Linked DNA regions of Xenopus tropicalis. The main gene of each other region encodes a partner of the protein of the gene in region 2 in a complex. Links are inferred from orthologs where the notes say so. Each region holds a gene or a part of one and is shown on either strand. Other genes may lie near its edges. The genes, in order: prdx1 and sirt5.

Region 1 (9,663 bases), on a different chromosome or scaffold from region 2:
AATTGTTCCTATGCAGATTTAAGCAAGCTTTTAAAAGCCTCAGATAATTATTTCCTTTATTTATTTAGTGTACATTTTGCACTAAAATGGCCTTTCATCTTTGCAAAGTGTCATTACTTAAGTTCAAACAACAAAGGATGTACAAAGCAGGTCAAAATAGACCAGAATTAAAAGAACACTGCAATTTTTACTTTACTGATTGCTAACTTATTACTTAGGTGTGTTATTAGGCTAATAAAACCTGTACTTTGTGCAACTGCAAAAGAGATTGTGGAGGAATTTCTAGGTTGTAATTCCTGAGGCGCCTGCCTCTCCCACAATGCTATTTCACAATGCAGTCAATTATAAATTTATTTCCTTCATAGCTATCCTCTGTCTGGCGGAGAAACCAATAGTGTGCCATCAGCCTTATGAATTACAATATAAATATCTCTCTCAGTCCATTTTTTTTCCTATTGAAAACAACCCAACCATGCCGTTTATCAGTAGACTGCAAGGTAGAATCTGTCAGTAACTGAGATAGCTGCAGCTGAAAAGTTTTGGGTTGAGAAATTTGCCTATTCACCTAACGTTACAAGTGTAAGGCTGATGTACTCTGGAGAGATTTAGTCACCTGCAATAGAAAAAAAATTGTATCATCAATGTTTTAGGCTTATGTCCCATGCAGAGATTTCTGCTACGCAGGCAACTAATCTCTCCAAAATGCCTTTCCACCATCAACTTTGTGCAACCGAACCGATGCATAATCAAATGATTAGTCGCCTGTCACAGGTGACTAAATCTGTCCATGGGACTAAAACAAAAATTATACACTATTTGTGAAACAGATACAAGTGTGCATTAGATTAGAGCAGTGCTGTCCAACTTCTGTAGTACCAAGGGACGGAATTTTTCTGGCCTACATGGTGGAGGGCTGATAATGGAACCCAGTTTTGACCACTCCCCTTTTTTAAAATGCACCCACTTCAAACCACACCCATGTTATCACAAGAGCATTTAAGACAATACCCATTACACATTAATGGTGGTAGTGCAGCAAAAACCCAAATGATTGGTGCTCACTGTAGGGATTTCACCCTTCATTCTTATGTGAAAGAATTATATTATGTCATTAAGACATATGCTTAATTCCATATGCCTCCTCCCCTGTGGATAGCACAGCAACCCACAGCACATAATTACACACCTTAAGGACCATACAAGGACTATTTCCAACTGCTAACAAACTCCCAGAACAAACCCCTGCCAGGTTCATCTCCCACAGGCAGCATTAGGCAGGCAAAGTATAGCACACACAGGCAGTATAGGGCAGGTAGAGTTTGGCACACACAGGCAGTATAGGGCAGGCAGAGTAAGGCACACACAGGCAGTATAGGGCAGGCAGAGTAAGGCACACACAGGCAGTATAGAGCAAGCAGTTTGGCACACACAGACAGTATAGGGCAGGCAGAGTATGGCTTACACAGGCAGGGTACGGCGCACATAGACAGGGTAGGGCAGGCAGAGTATGGTACGCCTGCCCAATGCTACCTGTGTGTGCCATACTCTGCCTGCCCTACCCTGCCTGTGTGTGCCATCTGAGCCTGAGGTGTGAACAAAACAGGCACTAAAAAATGTGAACAGTACAGGGGATTACATGTAAAAACAATACAGGCCCGCGTGCTGCCAGTTGGACAGCCCTGGTTTAGAGGATCTTTATGATAGCGGTTACTCCCCCTTTGTGTTACAAGGTGGCGAAAGTGGAGCATCCCCACAGAGTAGTACTAAGGATGTATCTCCTGCTGTTCAGGTACATTCTAGATAGAATAACAACCACTCCTCCCTGAGTAGTTTAAATCACCTTGGTACTCGTCAGAAATAAACACTCTACTCAAGAAACAAAGCCAGTATAAACAGAATACAATGCTATGCATAGAACACAGGATATTAGAGCACCTTTACTTTAGAAACTAGTGCCCCAGCTGAAATCTTATTGTGCTCTGTTTCAAAGGGGCTATTAAGGTTGTGGGGGTCCTTGGACAGGCAATTACTTAATGCAGATTCCAATGTGGCACTACTAATCATTTCACTTTTGCACACTATAAATCTTCTGGAGCACTGTGTAACAGTAATAAAATGAAAGCTTTACTAATGAAATATAAAGACTAGAACCATAATAGAACTACAGTCAATCAGTCAGACAATCAGTCTGAAACACAACTTTTTTAAGCACAATCCTTCTATAGCTAGAGGAGTATAATTCACTGGTACATTCATAATTTTTATATGATATGTCTCATTTAAATGTATACAGGTAACAGCAGAGGCCAATAGTTACCCACACACAGCAGACAGGCAGATCAAACCCCATCAGCTGATTTTAGCCAAATGAGTGCCATCAATGCAATCTCCAACATTGCTTACTTTGGGTACCATTATTACACCGCCTTGTGCAGCCCTGGGCAGCTTTTTATATTATCACATAAAGGTATGCTCTGCTGAAAATCTGTAGATTCAACAGAATTCTACACAGCATCTCGGCCTTTTCCTGACTGAGGGTCAATATCTTGCAGTTGATCTCTTGTGATTCATATTCTGTTTCATAGATACCATGAACAAACATTTACAAACATGTCATAGAGCATGGAAGGTTTTTTTAATAACAGGAAGAAATTGGTCACATTATTCTCAGGAAAAGGACTTATCTGTAAAGCACCAGCTATTTTATGTAAGAGTGTGTGTAGTTTACAAAAATAAGGCATCACTTTTTGTGCAAGTGCAGTTAGAACAACTTGTACATATAACCTGAATCAAGCTTTTGGTCTGAGCAATTCAGCACACCGCATCAGCCCAATATGAGGGTTGGCTGCAGCATGGGTCTGACAGCAAGAGATGGAACACATGTATTCATATTCAGAAGTCCATGGTTTGATTTCAAGGTACACTTGTGAGGATGCCAGAATCAGCAGCTGCTCCAGCTGTCTTGCACAGAAAACATATACAGTACGTGATTAAGAACCTGCCTTTTTAACTTACCAGGGAAATGTAGAAAGAAATTGTACAAAGAAAGTGCCAAGAAAGTAATGTGCTGCAGCTAACTAAAGCCGCCGACGTTCAGGTTCAAGTTCATTGGATGGTGAATATGGGCTGATGGTTAACTACAGCACCGTTTCTGATTACACACAACCTGTAAAATGTCTGATCATGATCAGATCATGTCTGATGAAGGGGCTAATAAACACGCAGGGTTAAACCTGCTTGCAAATGACCTGTTGTGTCAGTTCCTTGAGAAGCTTCTACCAGATCACCTGTCTCGATACCTGGCACACATATTGACCTTACAAGTGGCATTTTAAATACACTTGATTGTATGATATGCCCGAGGCTCTAGAGGAGTAAATAAAGCATTTTGGCAGTTCATTCAGAGGAACATTCTGCATGTTTCTTTTTTTCACTGTCCTGTGCAGCATTTCATGTTATGGGCAATAAGGCAATTATATCTGCTATGAATTGTGGCTGCTGTGTGACAAACATGTTGGCTGTGCCACATGCACAAACGTAGTGACTAGTGCAGGTATCAAAATAGCTCTATATCCTATGTATTCCTAAAAAGAAATTCTCTCTTTTCAAATCTGAAGTCTACATTGCCAATGGCTCTTATTCATTTCGCAAGATTTCTTCCTCAACATCCCCAGACTCATATGGAAAGGGGAAGTGACAAGTCAGCGAAACATAACCAAAAATCATTTCTTTTTACTCACGCCAGGAAAATTATACCCCCACCCCACCCAGAGATGCTATATTAAACTCACTCTTAAAGGGTATGCACAACCAAGCCTGGATACCTGTTTACACGTGGTGAGTTTGACAAATCCTTTTAAACCATTGTAGATACAGGCCACCATCTTCCACTTTCAGCCATAGAACAACGCATGGAAATGTTAAAAGCAGATCTTAAAAGGAACAGTAAAAAATGTATATATTTTAAAGAAATTAAACTATAATGTATTGCTGCCCTGCACTGGTAAAAATTGTATGTTTGCTTCAGAAACATTACTATAGTTTATATAAACCCTGGTGTGTAGCCATGGGGGCAGCCATTCAAAAGAAGAAAAGGCACATGTTATATAGCAGATAATAGATAAACCCAGTAGAATACAATGGTGTCTTATCTGTTATTTGCTATGTAACCTGTGCCTTTTCTCCTTTTTTCCAGCTTGAATGGCTGCCCCCATGGCTACACAGCAGCTTATTTATATAAACTATAGTAGTGTTCCTGAAGCAAACACCCCAGTTTTACCAGTGCAGGGCAACAGTATGTTATATTTCAACTACTTTAAAACACTTTCATTTTTTGGTGTTACTGTTCCTTTAACCCCTTTTTCTGCTAAAGAACACTAACCTTCCTACCACTGCCACCCTAGCTACTATTGAAAGCACTGACAAAGCATCATTTTTGTTGGCCTGGTAAAAAAAAAAGTAGCTAGGCGGGAACCCTCATACAGTACGTGCCTCTACTAGTGTTCCTGAGCTGTTATGGGTGGTGGAAAGGTTTCACGTCGGGCAGAACCCTGAATAACTAGTCATCCCGCTGAGGCAGGGATATCCCACACCCTCCAGCCTCACATGTTCTGCAGCACTCGTCACTTTTCCTTTTAGAAAGAAGCAAATCACTAGGCTGCAGGGAAGCCCGGACAGAGAGAAAGCTAGGGAAGCCAGACATTGCAGAGGTTAGAAGTTGTCACGCATACGCAGAGGAAGCTGGCGGCAGGGAGTGCTCTGTGTAACAATGGGAGCTCTGTCAGAGGCGGCACGGAACTATGGGATATAACCCCCAAGAAGAAATCACAAGAATGATGCAGGTGCAGAAGAACTAGTGATGGTGTCATTCATTCTAAACCGGGCCCCAAACCGCGCTCAACCCAAGTTCAAGGCTTTTCAGTATAATCCCACCAAAAGCCCCCACCGGGTTATTACGCAAGAATGCCCCATCTGTTACTGAACTACAACTCACTACAGCATGCGCAATGCTAGGAGTCGTGCTCCCATTACTACTAGTGACCAGGGTTTCCAGGGCTACATTGTGAGCTTTATAGTATGGCAGAAGATAATGTAGGAACACAATAGGGAGAACAATAGGAAGCAGATAGGCGCTGATATTTCAGATTTCAACTTACAGAACTTTAACTCCCGTCACCCCCATCACAACAATAATAGCAGCCGGAAGCGATGGAGAGGCCCTGCTAAAGATTAGGAGGGAGATGTCGCGGGCAGAATGTGTAACTTACATGGCTGTGGCTGTTCCAAGCAGATCAGGCAATGCAGGAGGAGACCGGCACAGCCTTGTAAGTGCTTTATATTCAGCAAATATGGCGAGCACCGCCCGCTCCACTCCTCCCCTCCCCTCTCCTTACTGAAGCATCTCCTGTCATCTTCTGCCTTCCCCTCATCCCCTCCCCTCGTTACTTGCGGCTTTCACACCTTCTCCGGGGAGATTCTCATGTCTATTTTACTCGTCGCACTAATTAGAAGCAAATGAACCTTTAGGCAACTATATAAAGGGTGTGAATAAAAAAAGGTATAACGGGTTGGGGCAGACTTTGGTGTTTTTGTGAAGAAGAATAGTTGCAGTTGCTTCTGTCTGAAAGTAAGTTTCCTTGTTTTCTGTGCTGAAATGTAACACTACATGCCTCAAGCCTCTTTCTTGTTAGCTACTTCTAGGGCCACCATCAGAAACACGGAAGCATCATACCAATAATTGTGCAGGCTGTGCCAGGTACAGTGGGCCCAAGCACAGCAGGGGTTCCAGTGGTGCACTGCCTGCCCAGGAATGGCGGGGGAAGTGGTGCAGCTGCTAAGTCTCAAAGTAAAAAAGTGTTTTTGTCCAGCATCCCCAACAGGGAAGGGGTGCAATTTTCTACCCTGGGAGATCAGCCCAGGCCATTATGCAGAAAAGCAGCACCAAACTACAACTTTAAACCACCAGAGCTGGGCCAAGCTCGCCTGGCACCAGTTGCGTAACTATAAAGGAAGCAGAACTGGAACCCACTGCTTTAGGCTAAGGACTCATGGAGCGATTCAGTTGCCCACAATAGATCTCTGCTTTCACGGCCAACTAACCGCTCCAAAATGGCTTTCCACCTGCAAGAAAACCTTCAGAAAATCAAAGCAATGTGAAGGGCTTTCTACCGCCAACCTATTGTTGCTGGTGGAAAGGCATTTTGGAGCAGTTCGTCACCCACGATAGCAGAGATCTTTTGTAGGGCATCAGCCTAATATTTGTATGTATCTAGCGCCCCCCGCCATTGCTCCCTACGCATGTATCTAGCGCCCCCCACCATTGCTCCCTACGCATGTGCCTCTTCTGCTTACCTCTAGTTCTGGCCGTACCCACCACAATACTTCACAGTTCGTATCTGGTTCTAGTATGTATGTATGTATAACTTTATTTATAAAGCGCTACTTATGTACGCAGCGCTGTACAGTAGAATACATTAATATAAACAGGGATATTAAATGCAGTCAATGCAGTAAAATGCAGTCTTTTGGTACTGTTGTGAAATAACTTTGCTTGGACTGTACAAAACACATCCTGGTTTTTGCCTAGGTGTTTCATGAGCAACCTTTAGTCTTGGAAAGATGTTTTTTCTTGACAGCAAAGTTTTCCACTTAACACCCCCCCCCCCCCCCCTTGTAGATCAAATTTGGGATCTAATTTGTAATGTTAGACTTGTGCACTTTGACATCAGTAACGGTGAGAGGTATCTGTAGGTCTTGTTATAAAATGCTGGGGTTCTTAAAGAAGTCTTTTTGCATCTTGTGTTTTGCTCTTGGACTGAACTTGCTAGGACAGCCTTGCCTGGGCAAGTTGGCAGGTTTTTGTACACTAGTAGGTTATCTTCCAGATAATACAGTGGAGGAAATAATTATTTGACCCCTCACTGATTTTGTAAGTTTGTCCAATGACAAAGAAATGAAAAGTCTCAGAACAGTATAATTTCAATGGTAGGTTTATTTTAACAGTGGCAGATAGCACATCAAAAGGAAAATCGAAAAAATAACTTTAAATAAAAGATAGCAACTGATTTGCATTTCATTGAGTGAAATAAGTTTTTGAACCCTCTAACAAAAAAAGACTTAATACTTAGTGGAAAAACCCTTGTTTGCAAGCACAGAGGTCAAACGTTTCTTGTAATTGATGACCAAGTTTGCGCACATTTTAGGAGGAATGTTGGTCCACTCCTCTTTGCAGATCATCTCTAAATCCCTAAGGTTTCGAGGCTGTCTCTGTGCAACTCTGAGCGTGAGCTCCCTCCATAGGTTTTCTATTGGATTAAGGTCCGGAGACTGACTAGGCCACTCCATGACCTTAATGTGCTTCTTCTTGAGCCACTCCTTTGTTGTATGTTTTGGGTCATTGTCGTGCTGGAACACCCATCCACGACCCATTTTCAGTTTCCTGGCAGAGGGAAGGAGGTTGTCGTTCAGGATTTCACGATACATGGCTCCGTCCATTTTCCCGTTAATGCGAATAAGTTGTCCTGTGCCCTTAGCAGAAAAACACCCCCAAAGCAAAATGTTTCCACCCCCATGCTTGACGGTGGGGACGGTGTTTTGGGGGTCATAGGCAGAATTTTTCTTCCTCCAAACACAGCGAGTTGAGTTAATGCCAAAGAGCTCTATTTTGGTCTCATCAGACCACAGCACCTTCTCCCAGTCACTCACAGAATCATTCAGGTGTTCATTGGCAAACTTCAGACGGGCCTGCACATGTGCCTTCTTGAGCAGGGGGACCTTGCGAGCCCTGCAGGATTTTAATCCATTGCGGTGTAATGTGTTTCCAATGGTTTTCTTGGTGACTGTGGTTCCTGCTAATTTGAGGTCATTAACTAACTCCTCCCGTGTAGTTCTAGGATGCTTTTTCACCTTTCTCAGAATCATTGACACCCCACGAGGTGAGATCTTGCGTGGAGCCCCAGAGCGAGGTCGATTGATGGTCATTTTGTGCTCCTTCCATTTTCGAACAATCGCACCAACAGTTGTCACCTTCTCTCCCAGCTTCTTGCTAATGGTTTTGTAGCCCATTCCAGCCTTGTGCAGGTCTACAATTTTGTCTCTGACATCCTTGGACAGCTCTTTGGTCTTTCCCATGTTGGAGAGTTTGGAGTCTGCTTGATTGATTGATTCTGTGGACAGGTGTCTTTTATACAGGTGACTAGTTAAGACAGGTGTCCTTAATGAGGTTGACTAATTGAGTAGAAGTGTCTAACCACTCTGTGGGAGCCAGAACTCTTAATTGTTGGTAGGGGTTCAAAAACTTATTTCACTCAATGAAATGCAAATCAGTTGCTATCTTTTATTTAAAGTTATTTTTTCGATTTTCCTTTTGATGTGCTATCTGCCACTGTTAAAATAAACCTACCATTGAAATTATACTGTTCTGAGACTTTTCATTTCTTTGTCATTGGACAAACTTACAAAATCAGTGAGGGGTCAAATAATTATTTCCTCCACTGTATATTCTATATTAATTGATGTCCACACGATTGGCGCTCTTTTTAAGTCCCTTTCACGACTCACAGGCATCTTTCTAAAGTTCATAGAGAACTCTTGGGATCTAGGCAACAAAAAGGAAACCAAACTAGCAAAAACTAGTCAGAAACTTGTAGGGTGTAAGGTAGGCAGAACAGGTTACACCACAGAAGGTCATACCAAGGTTGGATCAAGTAATAGAAAGTCCAAAGTCATGTGAGGAGAAAACAACAGGAAAATATACAGTAAGTTTGTTGCTTTTTGTTCTGAAATGTAAAACTATGTGGCACAAGCCTATTTTTTGTCCAGCATCCCCAACAAGGAAAGGGTGCAATTTCGCATTCTCCCACCTCCCAAAGTTAACATTTTTTTTCCCTGACCTGGTTAATGTGCCTCCAGCGTGACTTCACTTCTGCCCACCAATTGTGTCACTTCCGGTTAGCATGGGTCAGGTGGAAGGTTTGAGTAGTGCGGGTAGGGTGAGATGGCGTGAACAGGGGTGCGTAATAGAGGGTTGGCGAGTCCAGGTTGGGTTGTGAGTTAGCAGGTCCAGGTTGGGCACAGGTCTGCCCAACTAGAGGACTTGCAGGACTCTAGTTTCACGTGTTCTGCTATTGGCCTGAACCTGCTGGGGAGGCCTGGCACAGGTAAGTTTGCAGTCTGATAAACATCTGGCAAGTAGAATGATTGATGTACAATATTGTACAATCTCTTCAACTCCTTTCCCAGACTCATTGGCATCTATCTCCTTTCTAAAAGAGAATTCTTGAAATTTAGGCATTACAATACCACACACTTCAATAACAAAGAGCAAGAGCACGTTTTAATCATTTGCATCTGATCTGGTGCACCAAATTCTAATTTTAAGTATTTAAAGGAGAAGGAAAGTCATTTTGGCATTTTACTGCCAATAGATTTGCCACATTTGTGCCACCTAGAACACTATATTTATTCTGCAGAAAGCTTTTTTTTGAGTAAGGAGGCCTAGAAGATTTCTCTGTTTGCAGTTGCCATTTTAGCTGGGTCATCATAGATTCCTGCTTGCAGTCTAGCGTTATAGCTCAGATTACACATTCCTAAGGGGGGAGTGAGCTTTATGAATTCTTATGGGAGGGGGGAGCAGGAGAGAGGAGAGAACTGTGCAGACTCTGG
Region 2 (9,183 bases):
AGAGACTTAAGGGCACTATTGAGACAATCTCAAGCTGCAGGCATACCTACAGTTAACTCTTTACTAGTGCATATATGTCAAACACAAGGACCGGTGGCCAAATACAGCCCACCTGGCTGTTTTATGTGGCCCTTGGTGAGTGTGTCTGACCATCCAGTCTGATCAATTTTAATTTTCCTCACATAGTAACTAAGACTAAGGGGTATATTTATCATGCTGTGTAAAAAGTGGAGTGAAGCATTACCAGTAATATTGCCCAAGGCATCCAATCAGTAATCAGATTTCAACAGTAGCAAAGCATCGATTGGCTGCTATGAGCAACTTCACCGGTAATGTCTTACTCCACCTTTTACACATTGTGATAAATATACCCCTTAGTATCTTACTTAGTATATTAATAAAAATTTGGCCCGCGACTTAGCCGTATGTGATTGAGTTTGACACCCTTGCTTTAGTGAATCGTCCCCATTGTGTTTTAATGGAAAAGGCACATTCCTGAAATAAAAACAGATTTTACACAAATCACAGCTCCCCATAAATCAAATACTGTAAACATTCCCATACACAATCCCCTCACCATGAATTTCAAATAGGTTTCTGGAGCCTGCTTTGCGGTGTAACTCATCAATGTTCTGGGTGATGACCACCAGCTTCCTCCCCTGTTTCCTAAGCCTGGTTTCACATTCTGCAATGGCTAAATGAGCTGGATTTGGATTCTTTGTCAACATCACTTCCCTCCGGTAATGATAAAACTCCCATACACGGGAAGGATTTCTGGCAAAAGCCTCAGGTGTTGCCAAGTGCTGTAAAATAAACAACAATAGTAAGAGCACAATATTCATGGTCATTAGAGATGCTGTTGCTTATCAGTTCTAATGAGTAACACTTTGATGTGGTCAGATACATGCACTCTACTGTGTGAGAAACAAGAGTTCAGTTTTCTGGTTAAAGGAGATGGAAAGGCTAAGTCACTTGGGAATGCCAAAATGTGCCCTTGTGCCCCTGTTATGAGAAAACCTCACCAGCCTGGGGTACCTGTAGTGAGTGCTTCCTTCTTCCTCTTTCTTCTGCCGGCGAAACCCCTGGGCCGGCGCATGCGCATTAGAGTGAAAAGCCGACTTTCTTGTTAAAGCTCGGCTTCTCACTCTACTGCGCATGCGCGCGCACGCAAAACAGGAAGAGGGAAGCGCTCGCTGCTACCCCGTGCTGGTGCTGTTCTCTCCTAACTGGGGCACCAGCCCGGGGTAAAAGGTAAGCGATTTAAGTCACTTGGGGGTGCCTAACATTTTGGCACCCCCAAGTGACTTAGCCTTTCCTTCTCTTTTAAGTCATAGATGAAAAGTCTCAGACATGGGCAGTGAGCTTGATGTTGTGATGGAAGATTCCATTAATGCATATAAAGGACATGTCAACCCCCTAACGAAAAGTTTTAGCAGTGAAAAGCCTCACAGCATTCTTTAAATACCTGCCACTCCGGTCCCTCAAAAGCAAACAGCGAAGCTGCAGCGATCCCTTGGAGTTTCTCTCACTGCACAGCTCATTAACTCCCTCTCCCTCTCCCCCCTCCCTTTAGAATCTCCTTGTGTGCCTGGCGTGGTGCACATGCGCCGAAAAAGACTCGCGAGGCTTTTTCTGCGATTTGCGCGAAATCGCGCCGCCGCGTCTGCCATCCCGCCGGCGACTTACATGTTCGCCGGTGGGATGGCAGGGGTAGGCAACTCGGGGAGATTAGTCGCCCGCGAACAGGGAGTTAATCGCGGGCGACTAATCTCCCCCGTGTGCCAGAGCCCTAATGAGTGTGCATGTTCTGCCTTGCAACTGATATCCGTCAGTGGCGTTTTTTAATAAAGCTTATTAAAAAAAAAAAAAAAAAAAACAGGCAGGAGAGGCTATGCGCACATGCGCATTTGGTACATATACCGATCGCTTGATGACAAGCGAAACGGCGAAAAAACTAATGCAGCGGTGCAGGCTGTAGGAAGAGGTTGAGGGAGCGATAGTTATACGGTTGAGGTGGGGGTAAGGTGCCCTTGGCATTAGACCTGATATTAAAGTCAGCGTTGACATCTCCTTTAAAGGCAAAGAAAAAGTATCATCAGTGAGGGGAACAATTATTAGGCACCACCAAAACCCTGTGCACCTCGTTGCCATCTTTTTCCTCGTATGGCCCAGGCGTGGTGTGCATGTGCAGTGCAAAGGTCAGTCTTTTACTCTACTGCAAGCACACATTGGCACAGAGGGATCCTTGGGTGAGTGAGGAACGTGGTAAACGGTGAAGTTTTCCAAATCGGAGCACTAGCCCCAGGGCCTGGGAATTAACCAGATTCAGTTCGAAATTCAATTGAATCCCAGCCTTCTTTGCAGGATTCAGATTGTCTATGTATTTATACATAAGTTAAAAACCCACTTCTAAGTTATAAATTAAACATGGTTATGCAATTAATTTGATTATAATGTAATAACTTGAGACCTGTGCTTGCCATTTTCTCCAGTATCCTCCAGCTCCTCTGAATGTTGGCACTCCACTCTCTGCGCTGACTCCTGCGCCTGTAATAACTGCGATGTGCTTCGCTTTTGCAAAGGCTTCTCTGAAATCAGCCAGATCTTGAAAGGATATATAAAGTAAAATATATAATACTAAATTAGGAAGGGTATAACTGGTATGGGGAGATGGTGGGACACATTTACTAACATGACATTTTTGCTTCTTTTTTCGAACTGCCTGATTAAATGGAAAACTATACCCCCAAACAATGTAGGTTTCTATAAAATATACTGCATAAACATATGTAAAACCTGTTTCATCTAAATAAACCATTTTCATAAAAATATACTTTTTTAGTACTATTGAAAAAAAAAAATTGCCATTTTAAGAATTAAGGGCCTCTTCCTGGTATAGGATTCACAGTGCACACAAACAAGCCAAGGCACACATAAATGCTAGGCCACATCAGCCAATGAATGGACAGAGTTCTGTCTTTGCTTCCACAGTACTTCCTGTTACAGTTAGAGCTGCATTATTTCTGCTCATGTGATCTCTGAGGGACCACACAGCCCATCACTATGGTGGATCAAGGGAAAGGATGTAAAAGGGCAAAATCTACTGATATATATAATATTTAAGTTTGGCAAGATTCTTTCATAGGTCACTTAACATAATATAAACTATCTGTTGGTTAACATATAGTTTTAACACAGCAGTGATTCAGCTACTATTGCCTGGGCTATCACAGATTGGTTTAAAATCAGCTTCACTGAACTGTGTGTCATTAAACACAGTTTTATTATCTGAGCTGAGAGTGAAGGTGGCCATAAACGGTGAGATTTACTCGTTTGGCAACCATTTGGAGTCTTTCCCCCAATATGCCCACCTGAGGCCTGTTGGGCGGCTCTATACATGGATAGAAATGCTGCAGAGTCTGTCTGAAGGATCCGAATCATCAGCTTAAATCTGCCAGTGCATGACCTTTAGCCTCAGGATAGACTTTTATCGCTTATAAAAATTAGTAACCTAATCTCTAGGTAATACGCTTTCACCACTTATGTTCACACATCACCAATTATCTTTCTCACCAATTATATTTCTCAGTTGAGCACCAAGCAAGTTTATATACAGTAGGGTCTAAATGGCAGCATTCCAGTGCCACTAACAATCAGACCGTGCCTTTTTATTCTCTAATTTATAGTAGATCAACCAAAACAATAGAAAACTGCATAAATTACCCCCCAATCCCTTAAATTGTGTATCCCACCACTTACTAGAACTTGGGCGTGCCATTTCCAGGGCTATACCCTTTTTTTTGGAGGCTGGTTTCAGTCCACAGTAAACGTGGCTCACCAGTCTTCTGGTGTGGAACGGAAGAAGAATCATTAGGCCAAATTATTATAACTGAAACAAAAAATTGGAAAGATGACACCTTCTGTGGGAATTTGCAGCAAAAATGTACATTTTAAATAAAATACAATTATCTGCCAAATGAAACAGAAAATATACACAGAGTACAAAACACATTATTGTCTGCATATTAGCACACACTATTCCTTGTAGTGCAAAACTGGGTCTGTTGAGAATGGCAAGGGAAAGACATTTGGTTGCCAAATACAGCAAGTAGAGATGATATAAATGAAATAGGAATCAAATTCGTTATCAGAATTCAGAAACTAATTATTGCTTTTATCTGCCCCATTATGTTCCCTTATGCAATGTAAATGCATGGGGAATTGCCCATATTATGCTTTATAGAGATTTGCGAACATGTCTGCTGCATTGCCATTATCTATACTGTATATATTTTAGAAAAAGGTTTTTAAATTAATAACCCGATAAAGTATAAATTTCTTTCACAAAACTTAGTGAAGGTGGAGAAGCCTTTTTATAGCGTCTGTAAAACAGTCTGATACATATTATATATATAATGCTTGCTAAAAAGGCCTCCTTATTAAACAAAAGCTAAAAGCAAAATTTATACTTCAAAGACTCAGTCAGAGGATGGATGATGAGTTCTAGCATCTTACCAGAAGCAAATAGGAGAACGGTCAAAGCGCCAGTTAAGTCTATGTAAGACTGTGTGCACAGCAGAGTATGAATGCTTGCTGTGAGTCAGACCTGGTGTGCTCTAGTGACAGGGTGGGAGCTTGGAACACACTGCTACGTGAGCTGGGGACCGTAGGCATCTGAAAAGTGCTGACATCTGAACTCCCCTCTGGCTAACCTGACTGCCATAAAGCCATCTGGCACAAACATTAGGTATCTGGCTGAACTGCATCACAAGCTTATTATCCACCTTCATTCTGAGGAAGTTTCTTAATCAGTGATGAGGACAGGCTTCAACTAGTAGTCCTGCATATTACGAGTTCCATAGCTGGCTTGAGGATGGGAGCAATAAAACCAACAAGCTAAGCAATTCCTTGCAGAAATCATAAATTTATCACCAACATAAACAGGTTGGCCAATGTGCAGATTTTTACAACTTTCCAAAATCTTTACCTTTTTCCATAAATCCAAATTTTGCTTTTGCCTAAATTTAGATTCATGGTTTGCAACTTAGCAACCCTGGCAATAGTTTTATCAACATTCTGTTGTACACCAAGGTTTAAAAATGCTAGTAAATAAAAGAGGATATTCTAAGATTTTTAAAATGCATTTTTGTTACCTTAAATAAACAAAACAGAAAATTGCCCTTTTTTTAAAGAAGCTAATGAAATTTACTTTTGGCTACTAATCAGCCCCTAGATTCCTACTGCAAAGAAATTACTACCTGGGTGACGTTGCACAATGCCTCTCATCATTTGTGCAGGAAGGAGCAATTATAGGTGGATAAAGTGCAGAACACAGAAGACCCCCAGGAATATAACTACTAAATTAAATATGAGGGTCCACAAACTAGAATCCCCATTCAATAGCTACATATTTTACCCTATGAATCCAGTCTGTTTGGTTCACAATTACCTATGCCTATACTGGCAGCCTTCCCTAGCATATAATCCCAGTAGGAGCTTATATTATAACTTTATACTGTTCCCTACATAAGTATACCCCCCAAAAACTTGGAATTAAAAGACATATTTGCCTACAATGTATATCAGTTGGGCAGGTCTCCACCATCCAAATGGTGGCATAAAGTTCATCAAGGGTCAAGGCTCACACAGGCAAAACGGTCTTTGATAAAAGTTCTACTTTGTTTGAGCACTGTAATGGTTAAACTAAGCTCAGGAGAGGAGGTTAGGAGCTGAGTTTCCTAACATCAATGCCATGTCTTCATTGGCTGCTAGACAAGGGGGTGTGTTTAGTAATCTGAGCTGAGAAAAACTGAGCATGCCCAGGAGCCAACATCCAAAGGAAATTTCTGAGGGAGGGGGCCGAGTGGGTTACAGGAGGAGAAGGAAATCTAAGTGATTATGGAGATGCTGCAGCCTTATTATTGGACAGCCAGTGTGGCAGGAATTGAAAGATTTTAAAGAGGCTGTTCAATAATTAAATTTTTGTCTATGGGGTTTACATGTGCTTTAAAGAACAGATATGATATGTAACCATCCTTACAACTGCCTTAAATATAGTCAGTACCTTTTTAGCTGCATTTTTATCTCCAAGACTCCACCAGAAGATGGAGGAAATCACTTCTGCCTTTCAAAAATTAGCTGTATTGGGCTTTGTGCTTGTATTCACGGGCAAATATGGTCAGATGGCGGAACGAGATGCGCAGAGGGCGCAAAGCTGGAACAGTTACGTAGCTAGATCTAACATGCCGTCTACATCCCAGGCAGCAAACTCAAACTCTGAATGGAAAGTTCAAAACAGATTTTGGGGCAGTAAAAGTAAAACGTTCTACAAGGGGGATTTAATAATTCTTCTATGGTAAAATATGGGTTGGGGTTCTTTCCTTGTCTCTTAAGAATTCTCATCAAACACTTTGAAGGTGCAAAATATATAGACCATTCTGATAAAGCTTACTTAGTTTTTACCTTTTTCTTCTCCTTTAAAATTAAATTCTCTCTCCCCCCACTTCCCTATTAGATAAGCTTAGTGTTACAGATATTAATACCTCACTCACCACTTTATTAAGTTGGTCTTGGTGCCTTGCCCTGGACCCCTCGCTTTGGGGGGGGGGGGGGGGGCAGTGATATTTATCAATACAAAAATTAATTAAAACAGGTGCTCTCATGGCAACTCACCAGGCTAATCCAGTGGTGTGGGTGCAGTGCCCCAGACCCGTAGCTAGGGGGGCACTCAACAGTCGCAGACAAACTTTCTTGTATGGGCGCGCACACTAAACACCAATGGCCATGGTTAAAAAAGTTTTATTTCACAATTCTGACGTGTTTCCATTTGAAGCTTTATTTCACAATCCTGATGCGTTTTGCTTTTTTTTTTAAACCATGCCCATAGGTTTTTGGTGTGCACCCTAACTAAGAAAGTTTACAAAATATTTATTAACAAAAAAGATGACATTTTGTTGGTTGCTTAATTATTCCCTCTGCATATATAGTGGCTAGCCTTCTGGGGTATGCCTACATTAGTTTTGCGGACTTAAAGGACATGTAAAGCCTACATTTGCCTACAATGTATATCAGTTGGGCACGTCTCCCCCATCCAAATGGCATTATTTGTACTGCATATATTCCCCTCCATTTGCCAGCACCATCACATTTTCTTAAAGCAAATAGTAACTTTCACCCGGTGGCCATTTTTCCTCTGATACATTATCAGTTACATTTAAATCTGCAAACAGCATACACACACGCAGACCCTTATTCAGAATACATTTCATCAAGAATACAGGCTCACACAGGCACAACTGTCTCTAATAAAAGTTCTGCTTTGAGCACTGTAATGGTAAAGCTGATCTCAGGAGAAAAAAATTAAGTCAAAAGGGATTCTGGGAACAAATTCCTTAAGGCTCTTAGAAAAATCCCATTTACATGAGAAAAAAATTGAAGCAGACACCTAGAGCTGAGTTTCTATGGGAACCAGCAATGCCATCTCTTCACTGGCTGCTAGACTGGGGGGCGTGTTTAGTAATCTGAGCTTAGAACAACTGAGCATGCCCACAAGCCAACAGCCAAAGCAAATTCCTGAGGGAGGGGGCCGAGTGGGTTACAGGAGGAGAAAGAAATCTAAGTGATTAAAGGAGAAAGAAAGGCAAAGTCACTTGGGGGTGCCAAAATGTTAAAAAATGGGAAGAGGCATTTGATCAACCCATAGAACAACATGGTACAATATTTACTGATACTGATACAGGGGTTAAAGCCACAGCCATCAATCTATGAGACTTGTTCTTCATAGAAACCTAATATAATTGACTATATATTATTGTTCATGCCAAATTTAGTATGTCAATAGATAAGGATCCTCAGGAAGCAAATGCCCAAACGTTAATATCTTTATAGAAATAAACTACTTGTTCCCAACGTGCCTTATTTATGTTGTATTTTACATCGTCCTCCTCCTATTGCCCTATCACACCTGTTAAGCTGGCCATACACGCACCGATGATACCGTACGAAACTTTACTGAAGGCGCCCGAGCAAAATCTATGTTCAGGGCTGAATTGGCAGAAGGAGGTAGAAATCCTATTGTTTCTACCTCCATATCTAACAATTCAGCCCTGAGTGAGGGGTTGGAACGATCTTTCGTGAGACCGATGGTTTCTTTCCCCTTTCTTCCCTATGGGTACACAGTATAAACTCCCTCCCGACTTGGGTGGAGTATAGTTTATAACCTAGTATCACCATTTTCTACTGCTGATTAGGTGTAACTCCTGGTTATCTGTTAATTTCTATGTATAAAAATTCCAAATTACAATAAAAGGAAAAATATATATGTAAAAAAAAAAAAAAAATTTTAGGTGGTTATGAAGCTGCATAATGATTGTATGTGAATGTGTAACCAAATGTAAAACTGTGGCATAATATTATGCATTAAACAAATAAATAAAAATCCTTTTAGTTCACCTTTAGTTTAACTTTTAGTATGATATAGAGATTGATATTCTGAGACAATTTTTATTTTTTAAGGTTTTTCAGTTATTTCACTTTTTGTTCAGCAGGTCTCAAGTTTGGAATTTCAGCAGCTAGGCTCTTATTTACTCTAACCAACTAGGCTGTGGTTTGAATGAGAGACTGGAATATGAATAAGCAAAAAACGGAATAGAATGAAATGAAAAGTAACAATAAAATTGTAGCATCACAGAGCAAAAGTTTGTCTGCCGGGTCAGTGACCCCCATCTGAAAGCAAAAAGGAGAAAAGGAATAACTACAAACACAGAAATAATGAAGACCAATGGCAAAGTTGCTAGGAATAGGACATTCCTTAACATACTAAAAGTTCACTTAAAGGTGAACCAGCCCCTTAATCAGCCCAGAAAGATGCCAGACAGTGACTATTTATTGGACTGGTGGTGGGCTGTTTGGGCCTCTGTGTAGTAGAAATACCAGGGCATTTAATTAATCCCAGTCCAGACCTGCTGCGGCCTAAATTTATCCTAATTTCAATGGGTTTTGCTAGGTCAGGGAGGGTGTAATTAATGGAGAACAAGAGCCTAATTCGAAGGGCTACCTTTATACCCAGGGGGTGCACACCTCTTCTTTAAAAAAAAACAAATCGTCTATGCCTGGGCACTTTCATTCAGAGCGCTATGCCGCCGCATCTAAAGCAACTTAGGGATATATTTATCATTCTTTGTA

Evidence for each region.
Region 1: the proteins of sirt5 (region 2) and prdx1 are in contact, whole or in part, in a crystal structure (PDB 8Z54), measured with the Homo sapiens proteins. The link is inferred for Xenopus tropicalis from reciprocal best matches to the Homo sapiens genes SIRT5 and PRDX1. Residues at the interface, in NP_001363727.1 of Homo sapiens: Ala86, Tyr102, Arg105, Gln140, Ile142, His158, Val220, Val221, Trp222, Phe223, Gly224, Glu225, Asn226, Leu227, Leu232, Val253, Val254, Tyr255, Pro256; in NP_001189360.1 of Homo sapiens: Phe195, Ser196, Lys197, Gln198.

What each region holds. Positions count from the first base shown.
Region 1 is NC_030680.2:90,367,400-90,377,062, reverse strand, and holds the start of prdx1 (peroxiredoxin-1), read right to left. Parts: upstream 5,291-9,663; 5' UTR 5,268-5,290; exon of another isoform or gene 5,157-5,267; intron 1-5,156. UniProt on the Homo sapiens protein: Thiol-specific peroxidase that catalyzes the reduction of hydrogen peroxide and organic hydroperoxides to water and alcohols, respectively.
Region 2 is NC_030682.2:91,780,418-91,789,600, reverse strand, and holds part of sirt5 (NAD-dependent protein deacylase sirtuin-5, mitochondrial precursor), read right to left. Parts: intron 3,890-9,183; 5' UTR 3,872-3,889; coding exon 3,760-3,871; intron 2,605-3,759; coding exon 2,471-2,604; intron 804-2,470; coding exon 578-803; intron 1-577. UniProt on the Homo sapiens protein: NAD-dependent lysine demalonylase, desuccinylase and deglutarylase that specifically removes malonyl, succinyl and glutaryl groups on target proteins.